2 linked regions of the Cricetulus griseus genome follow. The protein of the gene in region 1 purifies or fractionates together with the protein of each later gene. This does not show direct contact. Links are inferred from orthologs where the notes say so. Each region holds a gene or a part of one and is shown on either strand. Other genes may lie near its edges.

Region 1 (4,592 bases):
ACCTGTCAAGCACAGCTCAGGATTCAAGAGCTCTAGAGGAAAACAATGTTAGGGTCCTTGATGCTGCCAAAGTGCTTGGGTTTATTTTTTTTTAATTATTGTTTGACTTTCCCCCCTTCCTCCATTCCAGTCTCAAGTGACTTAAATATGCTTACCGTTTATTATAACCATGTCTAATAATTTGCGTTTCTCATTAAGACAAATAAATGAGTCTGGCAGTGTTGTCTGGATGGAGAAGTGCTGTAGGAAATCACCCACCAGTTTCTTTGAGTGAAACAAATGAATGATCTTTGAGATCACGGTCAGGTATGTGGATTGATTTCCAAGTTCTCAAGGAGAGTGTCTATCGTTTCTGATTTCCCTGCTCTCCTGGTTCCTTCAGATACCTTCCCAAGTCTCTGGGAAAATGCCTGAAAAGTGCCTCTCTTCCTGTGTACCTACACAAACTCAAGATCCGTGTCCCCCCCCCCCCCCCCGCAGCAACACACACCGGGTTTCTGCTTATAATTTTACTAAGAAACGTTGGTGAGAGAGTAATGCAGTGCGTACTGGATTTGGGTCCCAGGACAGCTCACTTTGCAGTTGCTTGCTTTCTGGGTAAGTCACACATGTGAAGCTCATGGGCCTTTTTCCCAGTCTTCGCTTGTTCCTTCTGGAGATCTCCCCTTGGATCACCTAATTAGGAAATGGGAAAGTGTCAGGGCAGGAGCACCTCACAAGTGGAAAAGGCCAAAAGAGCTCTCTGCCTGCTCGTGAGGGACTTTAGATCCATCACTTCCTGAAGGTGGTGTTATTATTCGATAACCCTGGAGCCCAAGAGGGCGGGCAGATCCAGTGACTTGGGGTGTGCTATCAACGCTCACCCCCAAGATCACACCAGGGAACCCATGGTGATGCTGGCTTATTTATTGAGGCCTGGCAAAGGCAGGCCGGAGAACTCCAAGGCCCTCTTCTCTAGTATGCGCCATAACCTAACAGCCGACCACAAGCACCTCAAACAACCCACAAACTGGTAGAGAAAAAGACACCGCAGGAGCAACCCTAAATAATTTTATTTTTGTCACATTTTCTCCCACACCTTTTCCCCCTCCTGCCTCTCGGGACTCAGAAGTCAAGGTCAGCTGCGCTTCGCCAAAAAGAGCGCACCACCCAGGCTGGCAAGCAGCACTGCAGTCGGAGTCCTGGGAATTATTCCCACCTGTCAGGGGAAGCCGCACAGCTGGGGCAGGGACGCATAGCAGCACCTGTGAGTGCGGCTCACGCCTCCGCTGCGCGTGGGACCCCCCCCACCCCACCCCGACCCCGCGGTCCTGCCCTGGTTCAGGGAAATGTGCTACTGAGAGGACCCTGGAGCGAAGTCACTCTCTGGGCTCGGGTAGCCGACCCCTTCCACTACTCAGCCCGGCGCTGAGAGTACCACAAAAACAAGTGCTGATCTGCGGAAGGAGGAGGCAGGGCTGGGCGAGCTAGGGAGGAGCTCAGCCGGAGAGAAAGGGGCGGTCCCGGGTGAGGGCAGAGGCTGTGCCGGCGCCTCCTCATTGGCCGGGACGAGGCAGCCAGCGGGTAGGGGCGGAGCTTGTCTGTCTCCCCGCCCCGGCCCCGCCCATTCCCCACCCCGGCCCCGCCCCCGGGCCGCTGTTGGGACTCCCGCGCCCCTCGCGCCCTCCCGCGGGCGGGCCGTCCGAGTTTTTAAAGTGGGCTGGCAGCCGAGGAAACCGGACATTCGAGAGCGGCCGGTGCACAGCTTCGGAGTCTCCAGCGTTCCGCTCCAGCTCTCCTGAGGCGGCCGTACAATCCTCGGCAGTGTCCTGAGACTGTATGGTCATCTCAGCGGCCGCACTCGCCTGGCCCCGGATTCTTTCCAACTCGCTCTCTTTGAGCCACTGTTTTTGTTTGTTGGCTGGTTGGTTTTGTTTTGTGACATCCCAGAAAACTGACTCCTGTTTGCGGATAAACGGAACTTCAGGTCCCTTGTCTCTGCTCTCTCCTTTGGCGTCTTACAACCTCCTCCCACTCCTTTCCCCGGCCCCGCCTCCTCCTACAGGTTCCTCCCCGCCACCCCTCTCCTCCCTCCTCCTCCTCCGCACCTAGCCAGGCGTCCGCCAAACTTCCACCTGATTGTGCGGGACACTCGGACCTGCGAGCACTAAAGACCTTTCACACCTGCCGGGGCGACAGAGAGCCGCCGAGGGCCACAGCTAAGGCAGCGGCTGCAGCCCCTACCGGCCTAAGGAACCCAGGTGCTCCGGGTCTCGGAGGGACACTGCAACAATGACAGCTGACAAGGAGAAGAAAAGGTAAGCGGGCGTCGGAACCGGCGACCAACTCAGTGCCAGGCAGTGGCGGAACCGCGCGAGGCGGGCGCGACCCGGGACAGTTGCGGGAGGTCTCGGAGGCCGGGGGACCGCTCTGGAGGTGGCGGTGGGTGGGTGGGTGAGCGAGCAGGTGCGGACTTTACGGACGCGCAGCTGCCGCTTCACAACAAAGTCGCGAACCCGATCGTTCTGAGACCTTGAGTCACAGAGAGGTGGCCCTGGAGGTCAGGGGTGCTTCCGCGGCGCCTTCCAAAGTCTGTCGTCCCCAGAACACCAAGCTCTGGGGTTTGAAATGTTTCTGGGCTGATGCCCTCGACTTTCTCAGGGTTTACCTGCTGAGCAGACACGCCTTTCTTTTCCTAAGACCCCTTCAGGTCTTTCCGAGAGCTCTCCTTTGCGGGCTCCGCGCCCCAAACTAGTAAGGGACAGAGGGCAAAGCGCAACTCGGGGGCGCTTCCTGGCCCCAGGAGCCGGAACACGGCCAAGTGCCCTGCTCCTGAAGGCACTCAAGTTTTAGAACACCCCCTTCCCTCGCCCTGCATCTGGACTCCACCAGAGAGTGGGTAGTGACCTGGATTGCCCTGCGGGGGCAGGTGTCTTAGTGTGCAGAGAGAGGACGGCGACACCGGACCTCTCCGAGTGTCTGAAGAAGACAGAGAAGGGCAACCACGAAGGCCTGTCCTCGCGAATCTTTCCGCACTGGGTGAGAGGCAACTCCGGCCAACTCGCGCTGCCCTAGTGTCTCCTTCAATCCGCCCCGGATCAGGCGACACCGGCAGGGCTCTCTCAGAGCCTGGGTGCGAGCGCACCACGCTGCCGCGCAGCCCTGGGTACACCCTCGCCTCCTGCAAAAGTTTGTGGCTAGTCGCCTGGCCCTTTGCTCCTGTTTCGACCGGTGCGAGCCTTTTGGGCTAGAGCGTCTAACACTGGGCTCAGCGGCTACTTGGCTAGGGTGGCTGGAATCGAACGCAGGATGTCAGAGTGGCGCGGGCCGCGCGGGAGATCCGCAGGCAGGATGGAAAGGACTGCGCTGAGGACTCGGCCCCAGAGCAGACTGGCTTTTGTTTGGACTTCCACTTAGGGACCCGAGCCAGGAACAGTGTATCCTCTGGTCGAAAGCGACAGCTCCCACCTCAGGGCACCGATAAGGATTTGATAAACGAGCGAATCGCACCCGTCCTGGCCAGGCGCCCGCACCGTGCGCTGACGGATCTCTAGGGGGAAGGTATTGAGTCGGGTTCTAGATTCCCCGTTGTTGCCCACCAAACAGCTCTGGGGTGCTGTGTCCTTTGAGGTTATACAAGCAAGGGAAAAGACTCAAGCTGTAAAGGCAATCAGAATGCAGTCATAATCAAAACCGCGAAGTCAGACAGCCCAGAGCCGCCAGGGGAACTTACTGAACTTTTTATTCCTGCGGTGCCTATGGGTGACTGTCGCATTTGTACAGATGAGGCCTGATGGTAATCGGTGTGAAGTGTCATCTTGCTCTTAGGTCTACCAATCATGGGAAAAGCTGCTTCCATACCCGACTTACAGAAGCCTCCTTAGCAGAGGGCTGTTGGAGGGTGCGGGGAGCCCCAGTAGGAACAGGAAGACAGTTGCATAATAACACTACAAATTACCGATGAGTGCAAGCGGCCGCTTTAAGAACCAGTGAAACACGCTGGCCTGTGAACCTCCTAGGAGGCCGCTGCGGGTGTGCAGCTCCCTAGTGGTAGCCCAGCAGGGATTTTGCGTGTGTTAAGGTAAGGCAGGGCAAGCCTTGTGCAAGTTCCCTCACTGCCCAATGCCTGTTAGGCCAATGGCATTGAGACTCTGGTTATATTGGCTGGCTTCTTAGAGCATCGAGATGTATTTAAAAATTGTGAAGCAGGGCATTGAATGCCTCACGAAATTGTTGTGAGCTGCAGGGTTTCCTGAAAGATTTGTATTTTTATTGGTTTAAGAGCTGTTTCTTCTCTAGAATATAATTGAACATTTTTCATTCTAGAAACAGCCCCTCAAGAATCCAGAAGGATTGTTTCTATTCCCAGGCATCCCTGTATATACTAATCCATAACAATTAAGAGCAAGCCTTTTCATTGTTGGCTGGCTAACAGGCTTTGACAGAGGGAACCATGTCCAGCTCTATTGAGTTTAGATGAAGCAGAGGTCTCACCAGTCTTCCAAGGTTCCTGACTCTGGGAAGAGCTAAGTATGGATGTGCTCAAGTGGAGATTTGCAGGGCAGAGCAATTAAGATAAATAGAAGCCGGGTCCCAGGATGGCCAGGAATCCA
Region 2 (3,810 bases), on another chromosome or scaffold:
CTTCAAAGTAGGGTAACTCCTTTGCACTTGTTAATCGATCTTCAGTAGCTTGTTTTAAAATATCCTGTTAAAAACAAATGAACAAACAAATTAAAAACCCCAAGTAAATTACAAATAGGAATCTCTATGCTTTCTTTTTTCTAAAAGGTTTCATTCTATGGCAAAAATAAAAATGTCCTCCAGGGCACATGTCAGAGAGACATTGAGAACACATTTCAAATGGTACCAACAGGGCTAGAGAGATGGCTCAGGAATTAAGAGCACTGACTCTTGTTCCGGAGGTACTGAGTGGCTCACAACCATCTATAATGAGATCTGGTGCCCTCTTCTGGCATACATGCCAGCAGAACACTGTATACATAAAAATAAACCTTATCTATCTATCTATCTATCTATCTATCTATCTATCTATCTATCTATCTATCTATCTATCTATCTTCCTTCCTTCCTTCCTTCCTTCCTTCCTGTTTTTTGAGATTGTTTTTCTGTGGCTTGGTGGCTGTCCTGGAACTAGCTCTTGTTGACCAGGCTGGTCTCAAACTCACAGAGATCCACCTGCCTCTGCTCCTGAGTGCTGTGATTAAAGGTGTGCCACCAGGCAGTTGTATCACATGCCTTTAATCCCACACTTGGGAGGCAGAAGTAGAAGCAGAGGCAGAGGCAGGTGGATCTGTGAGTGTGAGGCCAGCCTGGTCTACAAAGCAAGTGTCAGGATAGGCTCCAAAGCTACACAAGGAAACCCTGTCTCAAACAACAAAACACAAACAAACAAACAAACAAACAAACATACATACATACATATTATTAAAAATATACTTTAAGGAATTAGCCTAATTATAGCAGTTACATGTTATAAGTCAGAACATAAGAGAAGACAGAAAATAGCAAGACTAATACATTTCCATGTTCCAACTGACCTTGTAGTCATGGACAATACGTTCTGACACAGCCTTGTCAAGCATCTTTTTGTACCATTCCTGTAGGCGCTTGGGCTTTGGGATCTTCTGATCAGGCGGATGACAATGGAAGATATAGTCATCCCCTTCACTTGGTGGACATGCCCAAATATGCCCTGTTGTGTATCTAAAAATACAAAGATAAGGACATAAAAAAAAAAATCATTTGTGCTAGAGTGTTGTGAATTTCATTTACAGATGGGCTGACATAGTTCTTGATCCTAAAATCTGTACTTTAAGATGAAAAGACACGGGCAGTGGTCATGTACACCTTTTTTAAGTTCAGTACTTGAGAGGCAGAAGCAGGTGCATCTCTGTGAATTTGAGGCCAGTCTGGTCTACAGAGTGAGTTCCAATACAGCCAGGGCTGTTTATACAGAGAAACCCTGTCTCAAAAACTAAAAGGGGAAATCCTGTCTTGAAAATCCAAAAGAAAAAAATGGATACCAATGACAGTATTAGTTGATATTAAATTTCCTAAATTTAATAGGTACTGTAGTTATGGTTGGGAAAAACCTCCTTGCTCTTAAGAAAATATAAATATTTAGAGTTGAGTTAGATTCCATGACAAATAAATAAAAAACAAATAAAAGATAACTATATTGCAAAGGATTAAGAACCCATTCTAACAAAAGTGAAATGCAAGGTGAACTGCTAGGAGGAATCTTCTAGAAGTTAGATGGCATGTACTCTCCAGGATGTAATGTATTTAAAAGGCCAGGACTACCTTCAGATCTTAACTTAGGAACGAACTTGTACTCTCCAGCCTCAAGCCTCCCATATGCTGAAATTACAAATGCACACCATGACATTCAACTTTTTTCATTGTTTACACCCATTACAAAAGGATCAAGGAAAAATTTCATCTTCAAATGAGTACTATCAACACTTTTTTCAATTTTATTTTATGTGCATTGGTGTGTGGGTGTTGTCTGATCCCCTTGAACTGGAGGTACAGACAGTTGTTAGCTACCAGGTGGGTGCTGGGAATTGAACCTAGGTCCTCTGGAAACTGCTGAGCCATCTCTCCAGCCAATATCAACAACTTTTAATTCAAACTGTAAGCATAACGGTTTAACTACACTACTAATGGATTAGTAAGGCAGGGAAACATATAATGACATCAGATTCATATTACAGAGGTTGTGGCTTCACTATATCACAATCAACATGAGAAGGCCAAATACACACTTACACATTTCCACAATACATTATTTTTAAAAGAGAGTAATTGTTAATATGCTTACCCCAATTTCTTGACATATTCTAAGTATCCAATTAAAATTTCATGATAGACTGCAGTCCTCAAGCATTTAGGACGGAAGAAATGAACACTATCGAGGTAAGATATGTACACTCTCCTATATCAAAAACAAGGAGAGAAAAATGTTCTATCACATAGTTATTATTTACATGGCTAAAAACATCTTCCTTTCTTTCCTGTGCTCACTGTTATTTGTAAATTATCATAGGAAAATCATAGATTGTGGCTGAGTGGGGACCAGAGTTGGCCATAGCTTCCATGTAATTTTTACCTGGTTCATGCTATACATATCATTGTTTCTGCCCAGTGTGTTTTTGCACTAGTTATAGTATGAACCCAATCCCCCTGCCATTCACTCCCTCACAAAATGAGAAGCTGGTCATATTAAGTCAGTCCTACCTTTGGTTGGGTGGGGGGCAGTCAGAGCCATACTCTTGAACATGCATGCCAAAGAAACACAAGTCAACACCATCAATTTCTTCAAAGGCAAAAAGGGCCTTGGTTCGGTATGGAAAAGATTCTGCCATTTCTCCACTATCTACAAACCTACACAATTCAGATTGAAAGGAAACCACATATTATTCAGGTGGAATTTATCAACAGTAACTGACCATGCAACAACTGCAGATCTATAAGAGAAGAAATGGAAATTACTAGACACCTTGCTTTCATGCCTGGTTTCACTTCCACAGTTTTGTCAGAAGCATGAACAACCCTAACAGTGACCTCTCCTGATTCAGGGTGATTTTGTCGCCTTAGAAAGTCATTCACTCGATTCTCCAGAAAGGTACCAAGTCTGGTAGATGGCAATCCTAGGAATATAAAAGTTAAAAGTTACCAAGGTGTGGCCTGGCCCAATTCCAAATATTAAAGAGAAGGAAAATACCATGCATCAAATTTTTACTGTCAATCTAGAGGTTCATCTACAAACATAATCTACTTAATTTTTGTATGGTTGTTTGCTTTTCGAGACAGGATTTCTTTTTGTAGCCCTGGCCATCCTGGAACTCAATCTGTAGACCAGTCTGGCCCCAAACTGACAGATATCTGCCTGCTTCGGCCTCCGCTGTGCAGGGTTAAAGGTATCTGTCACCAGCCAGGTGGTGGTGGCACACACCTTTAATCCCAGCACTCGGAAGACAGAGGCAGGCGGATCTATGTGAGTTCGAAACCAGCCTGGTCTACAAGAACTAGTTCCAGGACAGCCTCTAAAGCCACAGAGAAACCCTGTCTCAAAAACAAAAAAAAAACCAAAACAAAACAAAAAAAACCAAAACAAAACAAAAAAAAGGTATCCGCCACCACATAGGACTATGTAAGGCCTAAAATTACCTCTGCAGTGCTAAAGGGGGAAACCTGTGACAATAATTCTAGTCAATAAATTTTACATATGGCCCACATTTTAACATGTGTCAGAACAGAAAAAAAAAAAATTAACAAAAATCCCTTTTAAAGATTTTTTTTTATAGTTCAGTATATAGAATTATTTCATTTTGCTGGGCGTTGGTGGTGCACGCCTTTAATCCCAGCACTTGGGAGGCAGAGGCAGGCAGATCTCTGTGAGTTCGAGGCCAGCCTGGTCTCCAGAGT

The links.
Region 2: the proteins of Epas1 (region 1) and Ep300 purify together in Homo sapiens (affinity purification with western blotting; 4 studies listed by BioGRID and IntAct, with this or other methods). This does not show direct contact. The link is inferred for Cricetulus griseus from reciprocal best matches to the Homo sapiens genes EPAS1 and EP300.

What each region holds. Positions count from the first base shown.
Region 1 is NC_048598.1:88,387,093-88,391,684, forward strand, and holds the start of Epas1 (endothelial PAS domain-containing protein 1), read left to right. Parts: upstream 1-1,628; 5' UTR 1,629-2,271; coding exon 2,272-2,297; intron 2,298-4,592.
Region 2 is NC_048595.1:378,786,664-378,790,473, reverse strand, and holds part of Ep300 (histone acetyltransferase p300), read right to left. Parts: intron 3,033-3,810; coding exon 2,882-3,032; intron 2,767-2,881; coding exon 2,620-2,766; intron 2,318-2,619; coding exon 2,204-2,317; intron 1,084-2,203; coding exon 918-1,083; intron 65-917; coding exon 1-64. UniProt on the Homo sapiens protein: Functions as a histone acetyltransferase and regulates transcription via chromatin remodeling. Acetylates all four core histones in nucleosomes. Histone acetylation gives an epigenetic tag for transcriptional activation.